7 linked regions of the Callithrix jacchus genome follow. The protein of the gene in region 1 interacts with the protein of each later gene in a pairwise test. Links are inferred from orthologs where the notes say so. Each region holds a gene or a part of one and is shown in the gene's direction. Other genes may lie near its edges. The genes, in order: NUP62, KRT20, SSC5D, CCDC121, OIP5, AGR3 and FABP3.

What was found.
Region 2: the proteins of NUP62 (region 1) and KRT20 interact in binary tests that used the Homo sapiens proteins (3 or more experiments, as listed by UniProt). The two-hybrid records come from large-scale screens. The link is inferred for Callithrix jacchus from reciprocal best matches to the Homo sapiens genes NUP62 and KRT20.
Region 3: the proteins of NUP62 (region 1) and SSC5D interact in binary tests that used the Homo sapiens proteins (3 or more experiments, as listed by UniProt). The two-hybrid records come from large-scale screens. The link is inferred for Callithrix jacchus from reciprocal best matches to the Homo sapiens genes NUP62 and SSC5D.
Region 4: the proteins of NUP62 (region 1) and CCDC121 interact in binary tests that used the Homo sapiens proteins (3 or more experiments, as listed by UniProt). The two-hybrid records come from large-scale screens. The link is inferred for Callithrix jacchus from reciprocal best matches to the Homo sapiens genes NUP62 and CCDC121.
Region 5: the proteins of NUP62 (region 1) and OIP5 interact in binary tests that used the Homo sapiens proteins (3 or more experiments, as listed by UniProt). The two-hybrid records come from large-scale screens. The link is inferred for Callithrix jacchus from reciprocal best matches to the Homo sapiens genes NUP62 and OIP5.
Region 6: the proteins of NUP62 (region 1) and AGR3 interact in binary tests that used the Homo sapiens proteins (3 or more experiments, as listed by UniProt). The two-hybrid records come from large-scale screens. The link is inferred for Callithrix jacchus from reciprocal best matches to the Homo sapiens genes NUP62 and AGR3.
Region 7: the proteins of NUP62 (region 1) and FABP3 interact in binary tests that used the Homo sapiens proteins (3 or more experiments, as listed by UniProt). The two-hybrid records come from large-scale screens. The link is inferred for Callithrix jacchus from reciprocal best matches to the Homo sapiens genes NUP62 and FABP3.

Annotation. Positions count from the first base shown.
Region 1 is NC_133523.1:43,702,823-43,706,897, reverse strand, and holds the start of NUP62 (nuclear pore glycoprotein p62), read left to right. Parts: upstream 1-1,275; 5' UTR 1,276-1,432; exon of another isoform or gene 1,433-1,564; intron 1,565-1,722; exon of another isoform or gene 1,723-1,914; intron 1,915-2,861; 5' UTR 2,862-2,929; exon of another isoform or gene 2,930-2,973; intron 2,974-3,894; exon of another isoform or gene 3,895-4,030; intron 4,031-4,075. UniProt on the Homo sapiens protein: Essential component of the nuclear pore complex. The N-terminal is probably involved in nucleocytoplasmic transport.
Region 2 is NC_133506.1:92,394,973-92,398,472, forward strand, and holds the end of KRT20 (keratin, type I cytoskeletal 20), read left to right. Parts: exon of another isoform or gene 1-601; coding exon 602-822; exon of another isoform or gene 823-1,524; coding exon 1,525-1,562; exon of another isoform or gene 1,563-1,887; coding exon of another isoform or gene 1,888-2,067; intron 2,068-2,344; coding exon 2,345-2,442; 3' UTR 2,443-3,181; downstream 3,182-3,500. Other genes in the region: uncharacterized protein LOC103793320, read right to left, coding at 1,888-2,067. UniProt on the Homo sapiens protein: Plays a significant role in maintaining keratin filament organization in intestinal epithelia. When phosphorylated, plays a role in the secretion of mucin in the small intestine.
Region 3 is NC_133523.1:48,354,402-48,358,668, forward strand, and holds the start of SSC5D (soluble scavenger receptor cysteine-rich domain-containing protein SSC5D), read left to right. Parts: upstream 1-1,467; 5' UTR 1,468-1,622; coding exon 1,623-1,647; intron 1,648-2,258; coding exon 2,259-2,285; intron 2,286-2,590; coding exon 2,591-2,899; intron 2,900-3,109; coding exon 3,110-3,223; intron 3,224-3,460; coding exon 3,461-3,571; intron 3,572-3,903; coding exon 3,904-4,212; intron 4,213-4,267. Other genes in the region: NAT14 (putative N-acetyltransferase 14), read left to right, coding at 1-59.
Region 4 is NC_133515.1:87,415,552-87,419,751, forward strand, and holds CCDC121 (coiled-coil domain-containing protein 121), read left to right. Parts: upstream 1-1,400; 5' UTR 1,401-1,645; coding exon 1,646-2,013; intron 2,014-2,477; coding exon 2,478-3,432; 3' UTR 3,433-3,781; downstream 3,782-4,200. Other genes in the region: GPN1 (GPN-loop GTPase 1), read right to left, coding at 427-520, 1,232-1,342.
Region 5 is NC_133509.1:45,267,117-45,271,210, forward strand, and holds the start of OIP5 (protein Mis18-beta), read left to right. Parts: upstream 1-1,294; 5' UTR 1,295-1,324; coding exon 1,325-1,673; intron 1,674-2,203; coding exon 2,204-2,270; intron 2,271-4,094. Other genes in the region: NUSAP1 (nucleolar and spindle-associated protein 1), read right to left, coding at 844-936. UniProt on the Homo sapiens protein: Required for recruitment of CENPA to centromeres and normal chromosome segregation during mitosis.
Region 6 is NC_133512.1:41,575,786-41,580,067, forward strand, and holds the start of AGR3 (anterior gradient protein 3), read left to right. Parts: upstream 1-1,482; 5' UTR 1,483-1,522; intron 1,523-4,282. UniProt on the Homo sapiens protein: Required for calcium-mediated regulation of ciliary beat frequency and mucociliary clearance in the airway. Might be involved in the regulation of intracellular calcium in tracheal epithelial cells.
Region 7 is NC_133508.1:68,013,363-68,017,662, reverse strand, and holds the start of FABP3 (fatty acid-binding protein, heart), read left to right. Parts: upstream 1-1,500; 5' UTR 1,501-1,562; coding exon 1,563-1,635; exon of another isoform or gene 1,636-4,300. UniProt on the Homo sapiens protein: FABPs are thought to play a role in the intracellular transport of long-chain fatty acids and their acyl-CoA esters.

The DNA of each region.
Region 1 (4,075 bases):
ATGGCAACAGGAGACGCTGCAGCAGCAACTGGGACGAGGTTCTGGAGGTTGCTCAGCTGGGCGAAGACGGGCACCAAGGCGAAAGTGGAAGACCTACACGCGTGAGACAAGAGTGGGTGGGGTCAGGAACAGCCTCGCCCACCAGCCAAAATTCATAGGGAAGCCAAGCCACAGCCCCAGGTACGTCCATGGGGTTCCTTCCTCCCCCTTCAAACCAGGGTTTAGGACTAAGCCTCGCCCTCTCCGAATACTAAATTTGTCCTTTCTTTCCCCAAATCTCTGAGCCCCACACACCACCAAGGAACTCGCTTTATAGGACCGATGCCCCACCTCTTCCCCCAATACGGAACCTAAGGGTGTCCCGGGGGAATTACCTTAGGCCCCTCCCATCCACCTCAGAATATTTCGCTTCATAGAAAAACTCAATCCTAGGGACATTTTCTTCCAGCCACGCCCCTTCCTCTAAAATATTTCCTTTTGGCCCCACTGCCTTCCTAGTTTCCATCCCAAATCAGTTCCCAGGGTAACCGTCCCAGATCCCAGCCTTTTAATGTTATCCACTCAAATCCCACGCCTCGCCTTCCCACTGCCCCTCCAAGCCCCGCCCCTCATTGTTTAGCTCCGCCCCCGATTCCTTAGAGGCCCCGCCTCTTTGTCCCATCCCTCAGCTAATGGTTGCCTTGGCCCCGCCCCTTCTCATAATGAACTCCCTAAGTCCCACCCATCGTGACGACGTGGTTCTGGTTCCACCCGTTTAAAGGGGTTCCTCTAAGCCCCGCCTTCTGCCCTGTCAATCTACGTGAGTCCCCGCCTCAGCAGGTGCCTAGTTGAAATAAAAGAAAGCTGTGCTGTGAGTCAGAGCAACGTGGAGCCGGAGAGGTGGAGGAGGGTAGAGGGGATTGGCAGAGAATGGCTACCCGAACGCCCCGTCTACACATGGCTTTGCCCCCGAGGGCCAAAGTGCATGCTCCGCCGCCGGAGCGGTCCAATTGCTTTTACACCGCCGCCCTCCTGGGGATCAATGCGCGTGTGTGACGCCGCACAGGACCCGCCGCTCATTCATACGGGGCACTAGTGGGCTACTGCGCAAGAGCAACCAAGCACGCACAGAATCGTTTAGAAAAAAGCACACCCTTCCCTGGAATGCGCAGCCGCAGCCGCACGCGGGCTGACAAACACCAAGTCTAGAACTCTCCCACCCGGCCCCGGGCCCAGTGCGCATGCGCACCCGCGCGCCCTCGGCCCACCGTCCCTCTTCCGCGCCTGCGCGACCGTGATTCTCCGCTCGTGGTTCCCCACCCCCAGGGCTTCCTAAAGAGGGCCACGAGCTGCGAAAGCGCGGGAAAGGCGGTTGGACAAGGAGAGGCGAGCGGTTACTCACTCCATGGCTGCGGCAGGAAGAGGCAGCGGTGGCCTCGGCTGAAGAAAGAAGGTGGGACGGAGAGCGCAGGCGCGGAGACGGGCTGGGGGCACAAAGGGGTCGCGGCTACAGAGCCATGGCCGGGGCTACGCGGGCGGAGGAGGCGACGCTTAGTGAGAAGACTGTGAACTGAGGTCGGGGAATGAGGCGGCCCCGGGGACTGGGGATAGATATACCCGGGGTGGCGCAGTACGGCCCTCCCGGATCCTTCCGCGCCCCGCCCTCGCGCGGCCCCAAGCGGGAGGCAGCCCGGTCCCCTCCTCGTGGGGATCAGAGGATCCGACTCCCTGCTTCCCACTCACAGGATCGGGCCCTCTCCTGCTTGTGGCTCCGAGGTCTGGTTTTTCCTCCTGACTCTAGGCTCTGGTTTCTCTTTCTGCCTCTGAGGTCTGGGCCTGCTTCATTCCCTTCCCGCAGACTCGCACCGATTAATTTCCCTTTCCCTGCTTCCAGAATTTCCTGCCAGCCACACTTTTCATCTCCATCCCCCAACTGCTGACCCTTAGAACCCTCGTGGGTTAGAGTCCAGCATGAGTCACAGCCCCCTCCGCAACGCAGACCTGCCAGGGTGGCCTCGGGCAAATAAGTTCCCTCACCTCGTTTCCCTGTCTGCAAAATAAGAAAATCAACTCTCGTAGCGGATTTATGAGACTCAAGACAATGTGTCCGCCAAGCTTTATGCCCAGAGTTCAACTCATACATTCCTGTTCAACATTTTTTTTTTTTTTTTTTTTGAGAAAAGAGTGTCGCTTTGTCACCCAGGCTGGAGTGCAGTGGCACAGTCTCGGCTCACTGCAGCCTCCCCCTTTAAGGTTCAGGTGATTCTTCTGCCCTCAGCCTATCGAGTAGCTGAGACTGCAGGCACGAGCCACCACTCCGGGCTAATTTTTGTGTTTTTAATAGAGACGGGGTTTCACCAGGTTGCCCAGGATGGTCTCTATCTCTTGACCTTGTGATCCACCTGCCTCGGCCTCCCAAAGTGCTGGGGCTACAAGCGTGAAGTACCGTGCGCAGCCATATTTTATTATTAATAGATACTCTGGGGCCCAGTCTCACTTCTTCCTCCCTGCTTGCAAGAGCCGCAGGCGTTGGACTGTCCAACACCTGCTGGTGGGTCATTCTTCTGTCTCCCTCATTCCTCCAAAGTGTCCACTTCCAGCCGTCCTCACCTCCCATTCCAAAGGATGGGTGCCCAGGCCCCATCCCCTGGCAGGGATTCATGCATCGAGGCCCCAGCTTCGTTCTTTTCTCCATCCCTTGCCTTGGCTTCCTTTCAGACAGGCTTTCTTAGCCTCCACTGGATAGGAGCTGTCTCCCAAGCCTGCCAAAAATGGAAGATCTCCGTTTTCCTTTAGTCAAAGACAGGGTAGCCATCTTGCCCCTTCTCCTGCACTGGGCCCTCCGCCAGCTGAAGTGGATGTTGGTCTTTTCTCTGTTGCAGAAAGCCACCTTGTCCAATCCACATCAGGACATCCCAGCTGGAGTTCAACCTTCATCTCTTCTGTGGCAGTTAAGAGAGTGAATCAGGGTCCAGAGAAGGTGTAGGAACCCTGGTATTGAGCGTTACACACAAACTTCTTTGTCCTCCCTTCCCTGTGGCAGGCAGGAAGTCCTTCTCGGGATCTGACCACCTTCTCTTGGAGCACTTACTGTCCACTCTCCCAGTTTCTGAGCACTTGTCCTGTATTTCCTTTGGCTGAGGGGCTGTGTTATCACCTATGCAGTATGTAACCTAGCAGCTCAGAGCACAGACTAAGCTTGTCCCATCCGGGGGTCCACATGTAGCCCAGAACGTTCTTAAAACATTATGCAGATTTTTTTGCAGTTGTATTTATTTATCTGTTGCTCATCAGCTATTGTTAGTGTATTTTATGTGTGGCCCAAGACAATTTTAGTGTGGGCCCAGGAAGCCAAAAGAGTATCCATCCCTGGCGTAGACTCTGGAGCCAGATTATATGAGTTCAAAACCTAACTGCACCCCACTTATTAGCTGTGCGGCCCTAGTCATTTCCCTTCCCTGTGCCTCAGTTTCCCCTTTAGTACAAAGTGGCATTAAGAGTGCCTGCTGCTGGACCAGGTGCAGTGGCTCACACCTGTAATCCCAGCATTCTGGGCAGATTGCTTGAGGTCAGAAATTGACCAGCCTCGGTAACTTGGTGAAACCCCATCTCTACCAGAAATATAAAAAAATGGCTGGGTGTGGTATTTTGCGCCTGTGGTCCCAGCTACTCGGGAGGCTAAGGCAGGAAGATCACTTGAACCCTGGGGAGGGGCAGAGGTTGCAGTGAGCCGAGATTGGGCCACCAGACTCCAACCTTCAGGACAGAGTGACACCCTGTCTCAAAAACATTTCCTACCTCTTAAGGCTGTTACGAGGTTTAAAGACTGCCTGGTACACAGTAGGTGCTGCGTAAAAGCTGGTTACTGTATTGCTGTAATTAAGGTGGATGTGTTCTCTTTCTGTTCCTGTGCAGTAAGTGCTTTCAAACTATGACTGGTCATCCAATTTACAAAGGAGATTTCGGGACCAACTTCCTTCCACTTCTCAGTACAGGTTTTTGAGCAAATGCAGATGGAATTAAGGGTAGACTGTTGGACCGACTGGCAGTGGTAAGAAGGCACGCTTGTGCCATACCCACCCCCCACCCCTGCCGA
Region 2 (3,500 bases), on another chromosome or scaffold:
GACACAAAAATTAACTGGGCATGGTGGCATGCGCCTGTAATCCCAGCTACTTGGGAGGGTGAGGCAGTAGAATCGCTTGAACCCAGGAGGTGGAGATTGCAGTGAGCCGAGATCACACCACTGCACTCCAGCTTGGGCGACAGAGCAAGACTCTGTGTCAAAAAAAAAGAAAAGGCATTTGCCAGCTTCATCTGCATTTTATTAGCCAAAGTCACATGACCCAGCCAGCTGTCAATGGATTAAAGGAGTCTAATCCTGCAATTGAGAAATGCCACAGATCACATGGCCAAGTCTGATGAAGGAATGAGAGGTAAAACATCTTCACATGGTGGGGAAAGCAAATATTGAGAACAAACTACAATGTCCCTCACTGAGAGAACAGTGGGTGCAAAGCTACAAGCAAAGAAAAACCCCAAGAGCTAATGATCCTAGCTGGCTGGCTGAGGTTGCCTAGTTGGGAAGAGTGGGAGATGGAGCTAGAAATACACACCATGCCCACAGTGACGAGCTGCAGAAACCCTTCTGAAAAGAAATGAAAATTGACCCATCTCTTGAATCAAGTCCTTAGATAAGAAATGCCCTATTTTTCTTGTGCTCATAGAAAGAGTCTTTGGAGCATACCCTAGAGGAGACCAAAGCGCATTACAGCATCCAGTTAGCCAACCTCCAGTTGCTGTTGAGCTCTCTGGAAGCCCAACTGATGCAGATTCGGAGTGACACAGAACGCCAGAACAACGAATACCATATCCTTCTTGACATAAAGACTCGGCTTGAGCAGGAAATTGCTACCTACCGCCGCCTTCTGGAAGGAGGAGATGTAAAGTAAGGCTCTTAGAATCAAGAAATAGGTGTCAATGTCTGTATGTACTCCTATTTTAATGTCGCTGTCACTCATTACCCAGCACCAATGCAATCCCCAGGACAGAAGCAATTATACTCACACACCTCACCAACAACAACAAAACAAAAGTATACCGAAAAGTACACACACACCCAGACTATCAAATACAGCCTTGAGATCATGTGGCAGGACTGAGTTAGAAGATAATTCTCCAAATGACAGAGGTTATGCTGATACTAATTTTTATCATTAATATATAATTGAAAGCACAATAACTTTTTGGTAATTCAAATTGAGAGCTCATGAATTAGACAATAAGCTGCCGAGGTCTATGGGAGTCACTTTGGGAATCAATGTGGCGGCAGCAACTGTCTTCAGATACCATACCTCAGAATATCAACAAGAGAACACAAGATTTGAACTTCCATTGTATTTTTGTTATTTTAATTAGAGGAACTCCTCAGTATATAATAAACTGGTCAGTTTTAAAGCTATTTATTTTTCAAGTTTAAAACACTCAAGTTTGCAATGACAAGGAATGTAAAGGTAAATAAATATGAAAGCACATTCACTTGGATTTTACTTTGAAATATGAAAGGAGTGCATTCCATTTTCAGAACAGCAATAACGCTTTTTTTCTGTTTATTTTTTCTTCTTTCAAATTAAAAAAAAAAAAAAAACAGAACTACGGAGTATCAGTTAAGCATCCAGAAAGAGAAAGGTAAGTTCTAAATTTTTTCACATTTTCTATGACACTCAGCTGCTTTCTATTGACTACCTGCCACTGATAAAAAAGTAAAGTAAGGCTGTTTTAGTCTGTTTTCTGATGCTGTAACAGAATACCTGGGACTGGATAATTTACAAACAGTAGAAGGTTACTTGGCTCACAGTTCTGGAGGCCAGAAAGCCCATTATCAAGGTGCCATCATCTGGTGAGGCACATTAATCCATCCACAAGGACAGAGTCTTCATTATCTAATCAACTCTTACTAGGCCCCACCTCCCAACACTGTTACACTGGGGATCGAGTTTTCTACACATGAACTCTAGGGAACACATTCAAACCATAGCAGAGGCCAATTCTCAAGAGAGCAAATATGACACCAGGATTCTAAAATTCTTGTACATGGTGTAAAGAAACCCCCATGTGGGAACTTGGGCACATTCTTCAGAACGGGGTGATTTTCTTGGCCCGTGCTATTGTTATCTTGAGACATCCTGAGATCCTGAAAAGGAAAAATAAGACAAAATTTGAATTCCTCTTAAATTCAAGATCATTTATTTCTGTTTAGGGGTAGGAAGAGTAGGATATTTTTAAATTTGGGGAGAAGCACATTTTCTACATCTCTTTATAAAATGGACTTAAGAGTATTTGATAAAGAGGATGGCTTTAGCATGTTCTTCTCAAAGAAGGAAATAAGTAAAAAGAATAATAAAGTTGGATATTATAAATCAGCAAAGTCATGTGCCTGAATTAACATTTAATGTTTAATATGAATTCAGATACAAAGAAAACCAGGAAGATTAAGACAGTCGTGCAAGAAGTAGTGGATGGGAAGGTTGTGTCATCTGAAGTCAGAGAAGTGGAAGAAAATATCTAAACAGCTACCAGAAGAAGATGCTGCAGAGGTTCTGAAAGAAATTTGGCTATAATCGTATCTTTGCTCCCTGGAAGAAAGCACTATTAATACTTTGCAATGATTCAAAGGGGTGGGGTGGGGGGAAATCCTATTTATCAAACTCTGTAATTGAATATAAATGTTTTACTCAGAGGAGCTGCAAATTGCCTGCAAAAATGAAATCTAATGCACAGTAGAATATTTAAAACATCTTTACTGCTATCTTTATCATGAACCACATCAATCACAAGCTACAGACCACCTAACATCAATTTGTACGTAATGTTCCTGAAAATTGAAGCACGTTTCAATTATACTAAACCTCACAAAGTTTAGTATAATTTTTTGCAAGTTTATACTAAACTTTGTAAATTGCAAATAAAACTCTTCCTAATTTTTTCCTGTTTCTGAATTGTAAAACCCCCTTTGGGAGTCCCTGGTTTTTTACTGAGCCAATTTCTTGGTTAATCTCACTGAATTTTCAGCACCAGTACAACTCTACAACCTTCGAGCTATATCTGCTTTCCCATTGTTTCTACTGCCTTTCAAAACTCAACACAGCTCTTTGAATAATTTGAGAGTCAAATTCAATCACAAATGCTAAGCAGAATAAGAGTGAAGTATACTATACTTAAAATGGAAATAGATTAAAAACATTACTGAAACCCTTCTCAATGCAAAATGTGTCTCCTTTTGATAATAAACTACATATACTATCAGGTGCTCTGTTTATGTGGTGAACATACATTTTTAATGAAATGTCTCCCATTTTTTTTAATAACATCTGCACTGAGATATAATTCACACACCATGAAATTCACCCTTACAATATGTACAACTCAGTGGTCTTTGGTATGCTTATAATGTTTTGCAACCATCACCAATATCTAATTTTGAACATTTCATCACTCCAAAAGGAAATCTTGTAGCTATTAGCAGTTACCCCCATTTCCCTTCCTCCCAGCCCCTAACAACCACTAATCTACTTCCTCTATGGATTTGACTACTCTGGACATTTCATATAAATGGAATCACACAAT
Region 3 (4,267 bases), about 4.7 Mb from region 1:
AGGGCGGCTGGGGCTGCCTAGGCTACACACTGGTGAGGGAGTTCAGCAAAGACCTGTGAAGCTACAGACCGCCAGCCAGGGCAGGGAAGGAGGGAGGGGCACCAGCCCCTGATGAGCACCTACTGTGTGCAGGTACTTGTACATCCACTCCCTCGGTGTGTCCTCATCCACCCAGGGCCCAGAAGCAGAGGCCTGCTGAGGGGAGGAGCCTGGCCTCCGCCCACCAGCCGGCAGTGTGAAGTCTGCAGTGTTTGAGCTTCTCAGAGTGGAATGACTCCTTTCCCTCCCTGGTCTCGAGGTCAGCCTCTCCAACCCCTACCTCAGCTCCGTCTGCACTGAGAAATCTCCTTGGTCGATGTGTCTGCAAAGCCAGTGCTGTCTGTGCCACAGGCCTGGGAGAGCTATCTGGGGAGGGGGAGAGGAGGCCGAGCAGAATATGCCCCAGAGTTAGGATTTGTGACTCCGCCTCCCTGGACCCGGAGTGGGTTAGATGCCTGTCCTTGGAGGGGACCAGGTGGACTGCTTAGGGGTGGAAGTGCACAGGGCTGCCAGGCCTGGCCCCTCTCTGGAAAGGTGTAGAGCTGAGACGGCAGCTCTGGCTCTCCCTCCAGACCCGTCTGGTTTTCTACACCATTTGCTAATAAAGCCTGAAACCGCTGTGTGCCTGTCTCATCTCTGATGCCTTTTCCAGACTGTCTCCGGACATCCCCGCCCACTTCGGTCTGGCCCCTCCTTTCCCCAGTTGACATTAATTGTTGGGGGGGCGGTGCTGGACTGGGAGAACAGGAGACTGTGAGCTCAGGGGCAGCCCTGGGCCCTGCCAGCCCTTCTGAGTCACACTCCCCATTACCAAATTTTTTCCGCCTCACAGCTGCCTGGTGTGAAGGGAGTGGGGTGTGTGTGTGTGTGTAGCCCTTCCCCCTCACAAGCCTTGACCTTGGGCTGCTTATCTCCCTACCCCAGCTCCCTCTGGGATAGTGAAGTTCAACCTCTCCTCCCTCAGCTGGGGACAGGGGGCTTCACATTCAGATCCACCAGTGAGGGGCAGGACTGGAGGGTCGGGTTTTTCAGTCTCTTCCTCATCCGGGAAGTCCCTCCTGGTGTCTGGCTGCAAAGCTTGCTGCAGCACCAAGAGTCCCAGGTCTGCCCAGCCCCCAACCCGAGCAGTGGTCTCACCGTATTTCCCTGACCAGATGAGAGGAGGCAGCAGGTGGGCGCCCTCTCCCGCTCACACTGGCCCCCGACACACAATCCCTGCCCTTCGCCTTCCTGCAGCCGGCCACCCCCTAAGCATCTCAGCGCAGTGCTTCGCTGGCTGGAGCCTGCTTGGCCGTCATCTTCTCCCGTGTGGGTGTCTGCAGTTGGACACCCTCCCTCCCGCCCGCCACCCCCCTCCCCCAATGCCTCAGCCGCCGGCCAGCCCCCTCTAGCCCGCCCTGTCCCCTGCCGCCTCCCTGCAGCCTCTTTCTTCTTCCTGGCAAAGCGTCCAGCCCTGCCTGCTCCTCCTCGGGCCTGGGCGCCTCCGGCAGGCGCTCCCTCCCTCCCCCTCTCCCCAGCTGCCTCCTCCTCTCCTCTCCCGTTCTCCTTCCCCTTTCACCCCATCCCCTGTCCTGGCTGCAAACATGAGGGTCTTGGCCTGCCTCCTTGGTGAGTGATCCCTTCTCCTTGGGGACTCAGAGGGCCTAGGCCCCCAGCTCTGACCTCTTAGCTTATCCAGTTTAAGGACTCAAACTTCCGGGACTGGTCCCTGGTGCTTGGGGTACCCTGACATCCCTTCTGAGGCTCCCTGCCTGCTCAGTCCAGCCTTCTGCCAGCCCAGAAACCCAAGGGATCTGCCCCCTGCCCTACCCCAGCCCTGACCCCGCAGGGGATCTCCCAGACATCTGACCTTTAGCTAAGACCATGTGGGAACACCAAAGCCATGGTTCCTAGCCCTGATTCAGGGGCCAGGCAGCTGCAGCCCCACCCACCAGCCTGAGAGACCCAAGTCTCATCCAGGCCCTCTGTCCAGAGTCCTGCCTCCCAGCCATGGGGTTCCTGGTTCAGGAGAGAGAGAGAGAGAGAGAGAGAGAGAGAGAGAGAGAGAGAGAGAGAGAGAGAGAGAGAGAGAGAGAGAGAGAGAGAGAGAGAGAGAGAGAGTGTGTGTGTGTGTGTGTGTGTGTGTGTGTTGGGGTATTCAAGATGAGGGGCCTGTGCTAGAGAAAGGAACATCCCCGGCCTGCCCCTCACTTTGCCCCACTCTCCACCCTCCCTTACAGCGGCACTGGTGGGGATCCAGGCTGTTGGTAAGTGCCCCAGAATCCTCCCACCTGCCCCCCCTCCCAGTGCCAGGCCTCCCCCTTCTGCCCATCTAGGCCTGGCTTCACCCCCACCTGAATTCCACTATGACCTTCACCACTGCCTCCCGTTGGGATCCCCCAGGTGTCTGAGTGAATCTCTCTGAGCATCCAGGGGTTCTGGCCCAGGGGTCAGTGAGTAGGGCTGCTAGCTACCGACAGTACCTGCAGGACACGCCCCGCCCCTACAGTCCCCCTGACCCTAGGGCCCCAGGGATGCCCCTCCTCTCCACAGCCATTCCTCCACCCCTCAGATCGGCTACGCCTGGCCGACGGCCCCCATGGGTGCGCTGGCCGCCTGGAGGTCTGGCATGGAGGGCGCTGGGGCACCGTGTGCGACGACGGCTGGGACCTGCGTGACGCCGCCGTGGCCTGCCGGCAGCTGGGCTGCGGAGGGGCATTGGCCGCCCCTGGGGGCGCCTTCTTTGGGGAGGGGGCAGGGCCCGTGTGGCTCAGCGAGCTGGCTTGCCGGGGCTACGAGGGGCAGCTGGGCCTCTGCCACCACCGGGGCTGGAAGGCCCACATCTGCTCCCACGAGGAGGACGCGGGCGTCGTCTGCGCAGGTGAGGGCACCCTGGCTGCTCCTTCAGGGGCAGTTCCTTTGGAGATGACCCAGGGACCCCAAGTCCTGAGCCTCAGCGAGTCTGAGTGTGCAGCAGTCCAGAGACACCCAGCCTCCCATCCCCTCCAGAGCCAGGTGTCTCACTCCCTCTGCCAGGGACCAACTGACCTCTGACCCTACTCTCCTCACCACTTCTGTCTCCCACCCACAGGTCAGCGCGTGGCTAACTCCAGGGACGATTCAGCATCTCCCCTCGATGGGGCTCCCTGGCCAGGGCTGTCTGTGGAGCTGGGCCCCAGCACAGAGGAGACCCCGGTGACACACGGTGAGCCCAGAGGACTGCCGTGCTGCCCCCGCCCAGTGCACCCTCCTATGTCCTCTGAAGGGACAGGGACGGCTGCACTAAGAACTCCCAGGGGACAGACTGTCCCCCCACTCCTGTCTCCTTCATAGCCCAGGGAGTCCTCTGTCACTTCAGACCCTCAGAGAGGGAGGCCCAGCCCCCACGTGGGAGGAAGCATAAGGAGCGAAGTTCCTGACTCCTGGCTGTCTCCCCTCCCAGCCCCTCGCCCAGCTGGGAACCCCCAGAACGCCTCCCGGAAGAAAAGCCCCCGGCCCAAGCAGGCCAAGTCCACCCGGGCCCCTCTGCTGACAACTGGAGCCCCCCGCCAAGGTGAGCTCCCTGAAGGCTCCCCCGACCCCAAACCTGGATGCGGTGAGGCCTGGGGCCCAGACGAACTGAGGACCTGCGGGTGCCCTCTCCTTAGCTGAGGTCCTGGAAGGATCCCAGTGTTTACCTCGTCCCTCCTGGGATTTAAAAGCCAGGCCTGGTGTCCCCTCTTCCTGCCCTGTCGGGAGGTGTCCTGGCCCACTGAGGTTGTGGACTCTCCCCTTAACGGCTGCTGGCGGGCAGATCTCAGGCCTGTTTTCCCAGGTGAAGACCAACGGAGGGGTGTTTGAATCATTTCTCACCAGCCACCTGTCCCCTCCCTGTTCACCCCACAGAGCGGCTGCGCCTGGTCTCTGGCCCCCACAGGTGTGCCGGCCGCCTGGAAGTCTGGCATGGTGGGCGCTGGGGCACCGTATGTGATGACGGCTGGGACCTGCGAGACGCCACCGTGGCCTGCCGGGAGCTGGGCTGTGGGGGGGCGCTGGCTGCCCCTGGTGGTGCCAGATTTGGGCCTGGCACAGGGCCAGTATGGATGGATGACGTGGGGTGTGGAGGAGGAGAGCAGGCCCTCCGAGACTGCCCCCGGAGCCCCTGGGGCCGAAGCAACTGTGACCACAGCGAGGATGCTGGGCTGGTCTGCACCGGTATGTTGGGGCTGGGGCCTCAGCCCCAGCTCCCTCTTTCCCCTCCAGGAAGCTG
Region 4 (4,200 bases), on another chromosome or scaffold:
AAAGTAGATAGTTTAGAAAAAAAAAAAAAAAACATGAAGGCCGGGTGCGGTGGCTCAAGCCTGTAATCCCAGCACTTTGGAAGGCCGAGGCGGGTGGATCACGAGGTCAAGAGATCGAGACCATCCTGGTCAACATGGTGAAACACTGTCTCTACTAAAAATACAAAAAATTAGCTGGGCATGGTGGCGCATGCCTGTAATCCCAGCTACTCGGGAGGCTGAGGCAGGAGAATTGCCTGAACCCAGGAGGCGGAGGTTGCGTGAGCCAAGATGGCGCCATTGCACTCCAGCCTGGGTAACAAGAGTGAAACTCCGTCTCAAAAAAAAAAAACCACATGAAAAAAGAAGGCACTGAAGACTGGCAGGCTTGAGTCTTTCCACTCTCTTTAAAGCACTTCACACAAGTTATGTTACCAGTTTACTCACCAATATTGGCAGGAAAGGGAACTTCATGTACTGCTGGATCCAGGTTGATCACATAAGGTGGAGTGCCTTCGGTATGCAGGTGTCCTGTGAGCCTCTGCAGAGATATGGGGAGAGGGTTGGAAGAAGACAAAGAGGGGGCAGGAAAAAACTTCCATTCCTTTACCACCCATGCCTTAAGAGTTTTGCACTTAAGATTTTCTTCTACCTGAAATATCCACCCACTATGTCCACCTCTAAGCTGCAGCTTCTAGTTCAAATGCTACCCTTTTTCATCACCCATCTAACAAAGCTTCCCCTACTCATAGTCACTTGTTTACTTGTTTTGATTTTTCGTATGTGGGTTTTCTCCATCTCCGCCATTAAATATTTAGTCCCATAAATAAATCTTGTCAACCTCATTTTGACTATATCCCCAATGAATGAAACATGACAGGCGTGCAAAAAATAATTCTTTGGCAAATCTTCACCAAAAACCTGTGTGCTAGCACTGTATTAATCTCTAAAGTTACTTGTAAGCCCCTGCCTTCGAGAAACTGGCAATTTTACCAGCAAGACAATTCCTGTACAACGCGGTAACCTGGACAGAGTATGCACTGAAGGTGCCCTAGAAGAAAGCCTTAATTAACCTGGCTAGGGCCCGAGGAGGCTTTGCCGGGGAAAGAACTAAAGTTGATGGGAAGTCCGCGAAAGCCACGCGCCGGTACCCTCCAACTCCTCGGAGACCGCCCTAGCTTTCTTCCTGGCCTTCCGCCTGCCGGAGGCAACCTTTCCCGCTTCCCTACTACACCCACGCTGTGTACATCACCTGTACAAAGGTGGTTTTCCCGGATCCCGCCATTCCCAACACCAACAGACACACTGGGGGCCGCGGACCCCCAGAAGCCTGGGGCTCAGCTGCAGCTGCGGGCGCCGCCATCTTCCTCCTCGCCCCGCCCACCCGACCATAGAGACACTGCGTGGCTAGAGGAACTTCCGCGACGTTCTGGGCTGCGAATGAAGACAGAACCGAGGCGTCAGAAAGGAGCGGGCGAATGGGCGCGGCGGTGTCAGCGGCATGTTCTTAGCGTCCGGCAGGGCTAAGGGGCCAACTAGTGACAGAGGAGAGGAAGTGGTGTCGCTGAGCAAACGAGGGGAAGGCTGTAGGGAGCTAGGAAAAGGGCGCTGACCTCCATAGCCTAGGAGGGGTATACCCTTGTCCCCAGGAGGAGGGCAAGAAGAGATGGGGTCCCAAGGGCAGGGCTCACACAGCAGGAAAACGAGGAGAGTGCCTCTCACGTCGTACCAGCTAAGAGCGGGGGCCGGAACCACTGGAGGACCAACTGCTGGGGTTTATTCGGTAGCCAAGGAGGTTAAACCTTTGAGGGCCGGACCAGCCGGGACTGGAGCAGGGTGCGGCCTCCAGGGTTACTGGGCAGCGCCGAGACCCTTTGAGCACCGCACGGATAAACCACGGGAACTTCCCGCACTTGCACATTGTTCCCGCGATTCGCAGGCACAAGTTCCTGATGCTAGCGCTCACTTCAAAGCAGTCGTCCTCAGTGAACTACACAGTTGCCATGACCTTAAGGATGAAGGCTTGGATTCCAGGTACGAGTAGGTACTGGAGAGGAGCTTCCTTCTCACTGAAGGGTTCTCACAAACTCAGGAAAGATGATGAAAGAGCCTAGAAAATTATTTCTACTCCCGACCTCCCAATCTGTTTCTGTGGCCCTTTGTAGCTGCTAACAGCGTTAAGTCATAAGGTCTGGGTTTCATATACAGGCACTGCCACTTGCTAGTGGTGTGAGTCATGGGCAAGTCACTTAAACTCTCTGAACCTGTTTTTTCCTTTTTAAAAACTCAGTTAATATCTTCCAGGGTTGTAGTGAACGCACGTTGTAAATGATGAGCGACATCCTTCATCCTTTACCACTAACTGTATTCCTCACACCTTGCATAATGTACGGAACATAATGGGTGCTCAGAAATCTTTTCTTGTATGAATAAAGGACAGTTGTGCACTTATTTCCTAATTAAGAACTGAGAGAGGAATGTCTCATTTGTTCTTTCAGATTTGCTAAGGGCCCCAGAAGGTCCTTTACACCATATCTTACTGTAATAAACAATCTTTTAAAGCAAGAGAAGTTAACAAAGGTGGAGACACGCCTTAAAGAAAAGACAATGGCGAAAATGTCCGATCTGAACAAGCACATAAAACAAGCTCAAATCCAGCGGGACCAGCAGCTGGAAGACTGCAGGCAGATATACCATGAAAAGTTACTTGTCCAGGCTGAAAACAGATTATTTCTGGAATACCTGACTGACAAAACTGAGGAGTACAGAAAGCAACCCGAGAAGGTATGGAACAGCTATTTACAAAAAAATGAAGAAATTGAACGACGAAGACAACAATCAGCCTACAGATATGCAGAGCAAATGTCAGTGCTTAAAACAGAACTCTTGGAAAAGGAAAAGATCCAATCCAGTTTGAAGCAGAAGTTGCAGGCAATGAAGGACATTGCTATGTTAAAGGAAAAGCAGGAGAAAGAAATACAAACGTTACAGGAGGAGAAAAAGAAAGTCCAAGCTGAGACAGAGGCAAAGAAACGGGAAGTACAGGCCCAGCTCCTCCAGGAGAAAAGATTACTGGAGAAACGACTGAGGGATACAAGCAAGAGGCTACTGGGAAAGAGAAAAAGAAGAGAGCTTAATATGAAGGCCGGGGCCTTGGAGTTGACAGCAAAGCAGTCTCTTTTTGAATACGCCTGTGGCATCAAAAGAGAGAACCAGCAGTCACGGAAGGAATTACTGCAGCTAACTGAGCAATCCCAGAAACTAACGGCCACTGAAAGCCACTTAAAAAACCGGAAGCAGCAGCTGCAGCAGGAACAGTGTTATGTGGAGAGCTTAATCAGAGTGAGGCAGAGACTGCTAGGAAAGCATAATCAGTGCCTAAACAGACAGGATGCCCCAAAGACCACACCCAGTCTTCCCCAAGCCACCAAATCAAAGATTAATCCAGAGTAATTCCTAAAATAACACTGATTAAATAAGAACTGGAGCAAGTACTGTTAAAGTGCTACATTAACCTGGTTAGGAAGGCTTTTGAATTCCTGATTCTATTTTAAAATCATCATCATGTGTTGGTGTAAAGGATTAGATGCTTTTATCCTACAGTCCTACTAGGTATTTGGTAACCAGCTTTCCTTAGCTAGCTTTTTCTTTAAATACTATTGTTAATAAACAAGATATTCCACAAACCTCTGGTTAACCTAAAACATGACCCTAAGCTAGCCATTTACCATACATCAAACCAGCCAACAAAAACCAACCTAAATGCGGTATCTTCCTGGATAAAAATTAAAAAAAAAAAAAGGCAACCTAAGGAAGTGAAAACAGTTGCGATTTATTTTATCCAGCTAAATTAGGTTTCTTTATGAGACAGTACCTTTTGGGATAGCATTCCAAATAGACTTTGAATAGCATTCTGCTCAGTAAATAACCAATATCAGTTTATTCTCATTCCGTTTGACGGACTTAGCAGACAAAAGCAGTTCTTACAAACTCTTTGTACGTTTGTGCCAGTGACCAGGAAGCTCCTTCTATAGTTTTCTCATAAGTGAAAAAGTATTCTGGTAACAGCAAGTCCAGTAAGTGCTAGGCAGAGTGACTTTTCATCTGATGCTAAGCCCTCCAAGTTTAGCTTTAAGTAAATTGAGAAGGGAAGAGAAGATAAAGGAGACGTACATTACATCAGCTGTTACTTACAGGTGTACTTTCTAGTACATGAAGTAT
Region 5 (4,094 bases), on another chromosome or scaffold:
ATAAAACTGCAATCCAACATTGAATGCCCAAATCTTCTTCTTCTTTTTTTTGAGAAATAGAGTCTTGCTCTGTCCCTGAGGCTGGAGTGCAGTTGCATGATCCCGGCTAAACGTCCGCTCCAGCGTTCGACGCCTGGTTCATTTTTTAATGACTAGACTGGTCTCCAACTCTTGACCTCAGGTGATCCGCCTGCCTCGGCCTCCTAAAGTGCTGGGATTACAGGTGCGAGCCACCGCGCCCGGCCAATTCTCCAAAACATCTTGCAGCCTTGGAGTCAAAGACCTTACTGGTTTTGAACGAGACCATCGCCACAGTAGTCATCAATAAGTACATGATTACACTAGATCAGCGCTGAGTTATAAAAATTCACCCATGGAGGTGGTCCTCTAAAAGTCGTTTTTTGTTTTTTTTTCCCTGACAGGTCCACCAACAAAGCATCAAGAAATGATCGGCAATATTACAAATCACTGAAGTCTAACTGTTGGGGAGTTTTCTAGCAGCTAAGCCAATTACGTATTTAACTGTCTAACGATTAACAACAGGGCTTTCTGGGCCTGCGTTTCGTCATCAATGCCCTGAGAGGTATAATTTCAAAAACAAAACAAAACAACAAACCAGCAAAAACACCAAGAGCAGCCAGCCTCAAAATGAGGTGAAAACTACAGTTCTTTTTCCGTTTCGCTGAGTTCTAACTGGGACCACCGTGAACTACATCTACAGCTCGAGGGGCAGGGACAGCCGCCTCGGCCCCGGGCTTCCCGCTCTATCCCTTCGCACCACATCTCCCCAAGGCCGCTATTCCCGCGGATCCCGCCCAGGGGCCTGCACCGCCAGCACCATACCCTCAGGTTGGCCCGGAGACCCAGACTCTTGGCTAAGTTCTGCAGGTCGCTGTACTTGAGGGAGTCCAGCTCCTCTAGGGAGGGGACGACCATCGCGATTCGAAATTCCGGCGATACTCAGAAGACGGATCACACAACTCCGGTAGAACAGTTGAAATCCCTGGCTCCACTTCCAGCTTTGACCAAACAGAAATTTACATACAGTTTAAAAAATGAAGAATGCCGCGCTTCCACTGGTTGAAAATGCCCCAAAGGCGGGATTTCTAACCCTGACCAATAGAAAGGCTGATTTCCCGTCCCATCAGACGCGCGCTTTTCCCACATCTCAGGAATGCGCGGGTGCCTGAAGTGCCTGCAAGGCGTGTGCAGGTAACCAGCGCAGAGCAGACCCCGCTGCCCACGATGTCCAATGAGGACGCAGGAGCTGTGCTTGGGGCGTGGCCTAGCGTGTATTCGAAACGGAGGCGCCGGCTGCAGGAAGATGGCGGCTCAGCCCCGGCGGCGTTTTTCGCCGCGTGCAAGGCCACCCCAGGTTGACTTTTGCGATGGCACTGAGAGGACGATTGACGAAGCTTCTTTTACGACCTCCATGGAGTGGGATACTCACGTGGTGAACGGGTCCTCGCCGCTCGGCCCCGCGGGGCTGGAGGCTGAGGAGCTGGCCACCGGCCAGCAGCTACCGTCTTGGCTGCAGCCTGAGCGGTGCGCTGTGTTCCAGTGCGCACAGTGCCACGCGGTGCTCGCCGATTCGGTGCATCTCGCCTGGGACCTGTCGCGATCCCTCGGGGCCGTGGTCTTCTCCAGTGAGTGCAATGCGGCATTCGGGAAAGGTAGAGACGAGCCCGAGAGGCTGTTCCGCTTTCTCCATCGGTGGAGGAGAACCACCGGGGGAAGAAAACGGGATGAAAATTTGAGGCAATAACTTCGTGACCTGAGGATGGGGCAGGGAGCCGGGGAGTCTCCTGATGTTTATGGCGAGGATGAGTCTGTCTATAGGAGAGATTTTCCTTTTTTTTTTTAAGACAAGAGTCTCGCTCTGTCGCCAGGCTGGAGTGCAGTGGCGTGATCTCGGCTCACTGCAACTTATGCCTCCCAAGTTCAAGCGATTCTCCTGCCCCAGCCTCCTGAATAGCTGGGATTACAGGCACCTGCCACCAGGTCCGGCTAATTATTGTATTTTTAGTAGAGCTGGGGTTTCACCATGTTGGCCAGGGTGGTCTCGAACTCCTGACCTCGTGATCCGCCTGCCTCAGGCCTCCCAAAGTGCTGGGATTACAGGCATGAGCCACCGCGCCTGCCTGATATTTTTCCGTTTCAAGGCCCGGAGAGGTTGGGTTCTGACCCATGTTTGTCTTTTTAGGAGTTACAAATAACATCGTTTTGGAAGCGCCCTTCCTAGTTGGCATTGAAGGTTCACTCAAAGGCAGGTACGTATTGAAAATTACATATTGGTTTCGAGTCTCGGACTTTATGAGACTGAAGAGAGTGGAACTGACATACACTTCTTTTTTTTTTTTTTTTTGAGACGGAGTTTCGCTCTTGTTACCCAGGCTGCAGTGCAATGGCGCGATCTCGGCTCACCGCAACCTCCGCCTCCTGGGTTCAGGCAATTCTCCTGCCTCAGCCTCCTGAGTAGCTGGGATTACAGGCATGCGCCACCATGCCCAGCTAATTTTTCGTATTTGTAGTAGAGACGGGGTTTCACCATGTTGACCAGGATGGTCTCGATCTGTTGACCTCGTGATCCACCCGCCTCGGCCTCCCAAAGTGCTGGGATTACAGGCTTGAGCCACCGCGCCCGGCCTGACATATACTTCTTTTTGAGACCAGGTCTCAGTCTGTCGCCCAGGCTGGAGTGCAGTGATGCCATCATAGCTCACTACAGCCCCTACCTTCCTGGCTCAAGTTATTCTCCAACCTCAGCCTCGGGAGTAGCTGGGACTACAGGCACACACCACAAAGCCTGGCTGATTTTTACATTTTTTGTAGAGACCTTACTATATTGCCCAGGTTTGATATTAGAACATTTAAGTTTGCATATATGATTAGTTTGTAATAAGCAATGCCAGGGCTAATTCTTCAGTAACCCCAGAAACTGGAGAAAAATGCAACTAGAATGTTTTGTACTTGAATACTGCCTGGTAAGCTTTGCATCCTGCATCTGCTATGATTTACAAGTGATAACAGTACTCAATGAATTTGATATTACTAGGCTCCTGAAGTTTGAGTTTTGGCCTTAACAGACAGTTTATTTCATTCTGACCAGTTTGATTCAACGTTAGGGTTAAAGTATAGGAATTCTTACTTGCTTTGTCCAGTAACCAGAAAGATTTCTGCAGCTTGGACAAACTTCACAAACTGAGTTAGACCCACAGCTACCTCTCTTTTTCCTGAATAAAAGACACTCCCTATCACTACAGCAGTCCCCGTCCCCTTCCCACCTAGAGGACAAAGCAAGAAGGAGCAGTGGCCTGCTTGGAACTGGGTAAATTTTGGGGCTAGAAGCAGAAGCTTAACTGAATGTCCTTTTGGAGAAGAAGCTAATGAATCTAGACCTGTGCTGTCCTATACTGTAACCACTAGTCATATGTAGTTATTATATATTATTAAATCTGCATTGAGATATACTGTGAATGCAGAATACATGCTGAATTTCAAAGACTTAGTACAGAAAAATTAATCATTTAAAAATATTGATTACATGGTGAAAGGACATTTTTTATATACTGGGTTAAGTGAAATATTTAAAAACTAATCTCACCTGATTATTTTTTAAAGCAAAACTAATAGAACATTTAAAATTACTTATGTGTCTCACATTATATTTCTATTAGACAATGCTAGTTTTAGATACTTTGTAAAAAACTGGAAAGTCCCATGGGTTTCTGTATTGTGGAACAAGATAAGCTATAGAACTTGTGGAGAGGATTACGAAATGGCACAGCTCAAGAAAACTTTATTTTTTTTAAGTGTATGTTCATTACCTAGATGGGATCAGAGAATAAATTAAGATTTATTCTACCTTGGGGAGGCCAAGGTAGGTGGATTACATGGTCAGGAGATCAAGACCATCCTAGCCAACATGGTGAAACACCATCTGTACTAAAAATACAAAAATTAGCCGGGCATGGTGGCACGCATGCCTGTATTCCTAGCTCAGCTACTCAGTGTCCGACCTACCCTCTGCGGGAAGACTGAGCTCGTTCGGAAAAAACCGGACCGCAGGCTAGAGGAAATTCCTTAAGTTCAGG
Region 6 (4,282 bases), on another chromosome or scaffold:
AAAAGAAGAAACGAAAAAGAGCCAGAGAAGGGAGAGAGGAAGGGAGGGAGGGAGGGAGGGAGGGAGGAAGGAAGGAGGGAGGGAGGGAGGGAGGGAGGGAGGGAGGGAGGGAGGGAGGGAGGGAGGGAGGGAGGGAGGGAAGGAAGGAAGGAGGGAAGGAAGGAGGGAGGGAGGGAATTTATAAACACTAAATTTTGTTGAACCTAGATTAAGGTTCAACAAAAATTTTCTGTAAACATTTACAATAGTTAGTAAATATTTTAAGTTTTGCAGACAATACAGTCCCTGTCACAAGCACAGCTGACTTGTAAACAACATGGGTTTGAATTGTGTGGGTTCAGTTAGAGGAGGATTTTTTTTTAAATAAATACAGTTCTCCATATGGGCAAGTTCTGCATCTACAATCAAAAATGGACCAAAAATACTGTGTTCACTGGATTCCAAACCTGCATATGAGGAGGACCAAGTTTTCATATCTGTGGGTTGCACCAGGCCAGATATGGGACTTGAGTGTGCACAGATTTTGGTATCTACTGTCCTGGACTGCACTGGACTTTGATGCTGCAGTGCAAAAGTAACCACAGACACAAGTAAGCAGATGCACATGGCTGCACACCATCACCAAATCTCTACTTGTGGACACTGAAATTGAATTTCATATAACTTTCACATATCACAAAATATGATTCTTTTGATTCTTTTCCCAACTGTTTAAAAATGTAAAAATCATTCCTATTTCCTGGGCTGTACAAAAACAGGTAGACCAAATTTGATGACACCCTCCCCTAGGTTATTTTAACAGTAATTACATAATTACTCTTAATTAATTGGAGAATGACTATTAGATAAATATAAACATATCTAATTGTCCATTTCTAATTTTTCATGCAGTAAATGTTTTATAGAAAAATTGTAAAGAATAATCAAATTAAGAAAGTGTTCAATTCTAAAATAGAATTTTTATTTCCTTCTCTCAAAAAAAGGACCCAATCTCTTTAGCTATCAATCGTATTCCTGTAAACATAGTAACCCTCAGGAATTTCTATTTGCTTTATATCTGATCTTCAAGCCTCATGGTGCTCTCATCAAGAACAATGGCGTGCACACAGTTCTTAAATTCGTTCTGGTTTCTTTCTTCCTTTTTTCTTTTTTTTTTTTTTTTTTTTTTTTTGTGCTGAACTTCAGCCAAACATTAAATTACCTTGGGAAATAAAAGGTAAAAAAGAAAGAAGCACAAAGATGGTATTTGGCCTCATTTTCTGAGGACATTCAATCTTAATTTAGAGAGAGAGAAGAGCTTTTTTAGTGTGAGAAGCATGAGAACTGGAAAGAAGTAGAGAGCTTTTCAGACCAGCCTGTTTTTGTAAGTTTGTTTCCAGGTAACTATGCTCCCGTTTCTATGCAGGTGAGGTTGTAGGTCAGGGGTGTGTGTGTGTGTGTGTGTGTATGTGTATAAATCCACACCCATTTTTAACCAGAAACATCCAGAATACATTTCCAACAAGAGCAGTGGCCAAGTCAGGTAAGCAAGCAAAGTTTCCAGATTATTTAATCTGTGGTCAAGCTTTGCTGTATTTAAATAATCACCTTTTGCTATTTAAAAGTAAAGTTTTCAGTAAAGGGTGGGGTAAGCGAAATGAATTTGTATTTTTCTTCTTTTACCGAACTCAATTTCCTTTGCTGGTTTCATAGTTTTATCTCTGTTTATATTAATGCTATTAGAATAAATTGACATCAACCACAAAAACAACTCTTTCAAAGTTATTCTACAAGTAACAATAGCTCCTGTTTATATTCTTTAAAGTCTTGTTTTATTTTAAAATACAGGAAGTTATAGTATCAATTACTTATGTTAAATTACTTTTGAAAAATAAAATACCAGCGTCAGAAAATGCTAATTGATGAATGTTTATACAATTTTTGACATATGATTATGTGCATCCCAAATGCACTTTAAGCTGCGGTAGGGCTGTAACCATGCCGTATTCATCTGTGTTCCCCCAAGTAGCCTAACCTTGCAACTGATACTAAAGGACCCTCAGCAATTTACACTTTACTTTACCAAGGAAAGCATTATTTATTCAAAATCTACAAAAGTTGTATGGCTTTGTCACAGAATATATTTAATATCTATTTTATAATTTGTCAGTGTAAAACCAGAAAACCAAGATTTTTATCTTTTAATTAGAAAGTATTTTACAAGAATACACAAATACTTGAAATTTGAAAAAGAAAAATGGTTCCCACTTAACTCAAAACTTGGCAGCTTTAAAACAGCAAAAAATAATGAAGTGCTTTTTCTTTTTTAAAATGCAGATTGCACCTGCTTGCCTCTGTACCTAACAGAAATTTTTCCTAATGCTTCCTCCAGATTGACTTTTCTTAACTCTTCTTTATATCCAAGATCCCTGGAAGAATTTTAATGAAGTTTAGGACCCTCTTACCATGGAAAATGAACAGAGGCAGAGAAGATTTTGTGCACAATTTCCGGGGATTTTGAGCCTTCTGTGGCTCATCCACAGGCCTCTAGAAGCCTGCTGGATCCAGGTTAAGATCCTGTCTTAGATGGTTGCCTCAGTTCCTTCACTGCAACTTCAAAGTTAACTGAGGCTGCCTACCCTCTGTTGGGCTTCGTGTTCCAGAGTCAACTGTCCCCAACCTCTACTAAAATCCACCCTTTCTTTGTTTCAGTCTTTAAATTACAAGATGACTGAGTCCTTAGGGTACAACATGACATTCTGAAATGTTTTATGGTTTAATAAGTTGTGGGAACTTAAATGGAAGTCCTTATCAGGCACCATGGTAATTGTTTAACAGGGTTTTTTAATGCAGGGGGTGGGGAGGGGTCACAAGCAGGCAGGCCAGGAGCAATCATTTGAGGTCAAGAGTTTGAGATCAGCCTGGCCAACATGGTGAAACCCAGACTCTACTAAAAATACAAAAATTATCCAGGTGTGGTAGCGGGTGTCTGAAGATCCAGCTACTTGGGAGGCTAAGGCAGAAGAATTGCTTGAAGGCTGGAGGCAGAGGTGCAGTGAGCGGGGATCTCACTGTTGCACTCCAGCCTGGGCAACAATAGCGAAACTCCATCAAAAAAAAAAAAAAAGAGAGAGAGAGGAAGGGACGGAGGGAGGGAGGGAGGGTTTACTAGGGATTAGGGAGAGAAATAAAGTAAGGTTAACCTGGAGTGGTAACTATTTTCAGTCCACAGAGGAGCTGTAATATATACACCACTGGGAAAGGGAAATAGTAGAATGGGAGGAATGAAGAAATGTCTGGAGAAACCTAGAATCTATAAACTTCTTTACCACCAAATTGTTGTTCTCTTCCATGACTACAGTTGCTATTTTAAAATGACTAGGGTAGTACAACTGCCAAATGTTTTACCAATGCCAAAACATTGTGTCTTATACATCTTTCCATTTTCCACAATGCCTACTACAATAAACTATAGCAACATCTTTGTTTGAAAAGAATCACTAAAGAATCATTCACTAGCCATTTTAGCTAAGGAATTTCACTGTTTTGGTGAGGAATTCACTACTAAATAATATAAGTCAATCGGAAAGATATCTTAAGGGAACTTAAATAAATGTGAAGAATATCTGTACATTTATTTTATATTTTGAGGTAAAGTTTCAAAACTGCATGTGCCAACCATTTTCAAATGAGTTTTATATGCTAATGCTGTAACTAAACATCTCACAAGTATTAAAGACTTCCTGTAATATATTTATCAGGTGGTTTATGACCAGATCAGACCCAACTTTGGACTTTAGTTTTTATCTTAACAGCACAGTGAGTTAAGAACCAGTTTGAATTCTAGTTAACCAAGAGAGAATGTAATCATGGCACATCTACTCTTCTCTGTACATGTGTCTAATTTATAGTAATAGACAGCACTTGATTTTTATAAAGAGCTGTGTTATAAATGACAGGCAAAAGTCTGAGTAATTGCTGAAGCATGAGAAAGGTAAAATCAACAAAGGAACTGAAGGACGAGAATCCTCCATATTCATTCTATTTTTCCTCTGATTTCTATTTTAAGGAATATTTGTTCATGTCTAATCTTATCTTGGTATAGATTTAAAATGTTTTGACCTATTAGATACAGGAGAATCAAAAGGAAAGAATATTTCTGCATGCTAAAAGTCACTTTGTTGTTTATAAGCCATTAAAAAACACAACCTAATTTGTGTTTCATCTTGGTGGTGTGAACACTACATGGCAATTCAGAAGCAGGCTTTGTGTGTCCTGATCTATCTCTCTTTTAGTTATACAA
Region 7 (4,300 bases), on another chromosome or scaffold:
AAAGTCACATTAGTTTTGTGTTTGGCTGCCCAGAGGTGAGTATGTGTTTCGTTCCCTGTTGTCTCTCTTCAAAGCAGGGCCTGGTACAAAGTAGGTACTTTAATAACTGCTGAATTAATAAGTGAACTCAGAGCTTCAGCTTGTTCATCTATTTAAAAAGACAAGATAATATAGTAACACCTATTTCATGGATTTTGTTTTAAAAGTTCAATGAGGCCAGGCTTGGTGGTGTGTGCCTACAGTCCCAGCTTCTTGGGAAGCTAAGGTGGGAGGATCCCTTGAGCCCTGGAGTTTGAGGCTGCAGTGAGCTGTGATGGCATCACAGTACTCCAGGCTGGGAGACACATTGAGAGACCTTGTCTCTAAAAAATAATAAAAAAATGAAAATTCCAATGAAACAATATACCTAAAGCCCTCAGCATGCAATAAATATCAATACAAGGCAGGTCTTACATCCACTCAAAGTGCTTAGTGAACTATACAGTGTCAAACCACTGCACAACAGGCTCTGGAAAGGAGGCAGCAAAGTACCCAAAGTGCAGAGACTTGCTAGTGTGAACAGGTCAGGGAAGGCAGCAGGTGGGGAAGGCAGCAGTGGGCCTTGAAGAGCTGACCGAATTGGCAGAATTTCTGAAGGAGGGTGAGCTGGGAAGGAACTGAGCTAAAACTTGGAGCTGTGCGGATAGACTGGAAAAGCCCGAAGCACTTGCAGGGGCGGGTGGGGAGTTGGATGGTAGGATGGGGTGGGGTGGGGTGGGGTGGGGCGGGGCGGGAGGAGGGCCAGCATGAAACATTCTGCAGGGAGGGGCAAGCACGTGTGAGCAGGCGGGCGCAGATGCGAAAGGTCAGGCTTTCGCACAAAACAGGCAGAAGACAAGGTCAGCTCAGCCGCAAACGGAGCCCCTGGTAATTGTTTCCGCCACCAGGCAGTGGGAGTGAAGGGACAGCGCGGCCTTGCTAGGCTAAGCTTGCAATCTGAAGATCCATTCACCCGCTATTTCTTGAGACCTTGCCAGTTCCCCGCTGAGCCGCGGGCTCCTCACTTGTAAAACGAGGACGGATGCCTGCGCCAGAAGTCAACCAGAGTTTTTCCCGGCGTGGGCACCAGCCCAAGGTCGAGTTTTCCTTTTCTAGTCTCATCTCTGCTCTGACCCCAAGCTCAAAGAGGGACTGGGCTACGGAAGATATCCATGGCATGCGCCCCAGCTCTCCGGCCGGTGCCGGCTGCTTCCTTCTCGGATTCCAGAGTGCCTAGAGGCCAGGAAAGGGAGATGGTCCTGCCAGCCTGGGGTAGAGACTAGGGGGCCAGGCACTGGCGCTGACGCAGGCAAGCAGGGCGCCACTGACTGGTCCCCTCCCACCTCGGCGGGTTGGGGGATGGCGGACCAGCCCCTCCTGGGTGAGCCCTAGCCTGGGGCTTCCTATTTCGGGAGCCGGGGGCGTGGGCCACGTCTCATGTGATGCGAGGGCTATTTAAAGCAGCAGCCCGGGCACGGAGCCGCCGTCCGAATCTTTGCACGCCTGCTCTCTCGCAGCTTGTCTCAGCCTAGCCCAGCATCACTATGGTGGACGCTTTCCTGGGCACCTGGAAGCTAGTGGACAGCAAGAATTTCGATGACTACATGAAGTCACTCGGTGAGCAAGCCGCGGGGCTCTGGATGCTGGCTTGGGGAGGGGCTGGTGGCATCCCTAGCACCACGCAGGGCTCCTGCTGCATCCCTCTTGGTTAAGACTGGGGAATAGGGGAACGCGGAATGGCGGCCTGGGCTAGGGCAGGTAGAGCCTGTTCGGAAGGGGATTTCATGGTCCAAATCTGGTTAGAGACCATGGTAGGGAGGTGGAGGAAGGAGGCAGCTGTGTGGGAGGCTCTTTCCAGGAAGACAGATATATGATTTGGAGGTAGGAGGAGGGTTTGGATAAAGAACACTGATCACAGGAAGGGGAGTCTAGTCAAGGAAGAGAAAGAACGGGGCATGGGTAGTTTAGAAATTGGAGGAGACTGAACCCAGAAAGGGAATGGGGCAGCTAGGGAGTGTACTATGACCTTAAACAAGTAGGAAATACCTAGGAGGAAGATCGGTGGGGAAAAAACGTGTATCAGTGAATCAGATATGAGGATGAGGTAAGACAGGGACCTTCAGTAAGCAGCAATCCCCATCTCTCCATGTTGGATTAGGGAAGGGGATTGTTGCTGAAAATGCTCTTTCTCCCAAGCTAGTCTGACCTTGTCCTGCGGTGATATGTAACCAGGCCTTAATCACTGTCTGTGAGCCTCGTGGTAGGGTGGGGCAAGAGGCCCATCATCAGCTGGGCCTTTCCTGCAACCCAAGGCTCACCCACCTGTGCAAAGGGTAGGCAGAGAAAGCCATTGGACTTCTACTGTGCAGTAGAGGGTGTCAGAGCAAGGTCAAGACCTGGGAGGGAGGTTGACTGGTTTAGGAGGCTGTGAAGAACTGCTGTGGTGTTGAGATGGTTAAGAAAAAGGATTCAAAGAATCTTACAGGTGAGGAACTTGGAGATTCCCATACCGTCTGGTTCAACAGGGAAATTGAAACCAGGAGAGTAGAAATGTATTATAACAATTCCACAGCAGAGCTGATATGAAAACCTAAGGTTTCTAGATCTGTTACCCAGAGCTCTTTCCACTACCCTATAGGCCCTGGGAGTGGGAAGCAAAGTAGGAACTGCTTAGCTAATGATTGACCTCAGCCCTTCTTCTACTGCTTTGGTCTGATGGAGAGGTCAAAGCTCTTAACGGCCCCTAGTCTACCCTGGGCGCTATGCCCAGTAATTCCAGGTAGGCAGTCATTCTTAGAGGAACAGCCCCCCAACCCCCACTAACACACCCCAGCAGCTATTGGGAAGTTGGAATGCCCAGACTTAGTTCCTCCTTCCAAAGCTAGGCCAGAGTCGAGTCCCTGGACTGAGCTGAAACAACTTTACCACTGTTGTTCCCTTATTCCGCCCCAAGTTGGGTGGGTGGGGAGCGATCTCCCTAAAGACCTGTTATTTTTCAGCAGCTTATGCTAAGGCAGCCTGCTTTTTCATAGGAACAGGAAGCCTGGGAAAAGACCCTCCTCAGCTCTCAGTAAATAGCACTGGCTTCATTTCTAAGTAGAACCCAGATCTCTGAGTCTCCTAAATTCTGTCAGCTCAATATTCTTAATTTCTCTTGGTTCAGACCCTCACTTATCCCACAGTGGTTTCCTCTTCAGACACTCTATACCTCTGGGTAGGTCCTAAGCAAACAGTCCTGCTCTGTGCATGGGAGTGTCATTGGCCTGACTTCCTGACACCAAGGGGCAAGGCCAAGTTCCTCACTGGCCAGGCAAGGGTAGGCTGACAGCATAGCCCCTGCCCCTCCTGCTGTAGACCTAGGGCTCTCAAGGGGCAAAGAGGTCCCATCTAGTACCAGTGACCACCGGCACAACTGGTGGCCTGGATTGAGTATGTGCTGGGCAGAATGGCCTAGTGGAAACAGTGAGCCGTTTTGGAGCCTAGATTCAAATCCGTCAGTAGTTTACTCCGTTTGAATTTCGAGGAGACACTTCACTCTCTATTGTAAATTGGGGATAATCTAAGCTTCAGGGCTGTTACAAGCATTAAGTACAACTCATGTAGGGCATGTGCAGAGTACCTAGCTCCAGTAAGCACTATGCAGCCAGGCACATTTGGAGACTATACACACCACTTCACTACACTGGACTGCCTCCTGCCTCACCATTGCCTTGGAGGACAGCTCAGCATAAGCTGCTGGGGGGAGAAGGGGCAGTCATGATTAGTTCTTTGTTCTTTACTTGCTTGCAGGACACGTAGGACTTGCCTCGTACCCAAGGAAGCCATGCTTGGGTCAGGAAGATAGTCTCTGTAGAGCCTTAGACTAGGAGTCAGGAGACTTGGGTTTGAATCTCACTCACTGTTTTGTTTTGTTTTGGTTTTGAGATGGAGTTTCACTCTGGTTGCCCAGGCTGGAGTGCAATGGCATGATCTCAGCTCACTGCAACCTCTGCCTCTTGGGTTCAAGTGATTCTCCTGCCTCAGCCTCCCGAGTAGTTGGGATTACAGGCGTGCGCCACCACGCCTGGCTAATTTTGTATTTTTAGTAGAGATGGGTTTCTCCATGTTGGTCAGGCTGGTCTCAAACTCCCAACCTCAGGCGATCCATCTACCTTGGCCTCCCAAAGTGCTGGGATTACAGGCATGAGCCACCATGCCCAGCAGAGTCTAATTCATTGTTGCTACCGCTTTAGACCCTCCTCAATCTGTGCAAGAGGACAAATACTTCCTTTGTATCTAACTC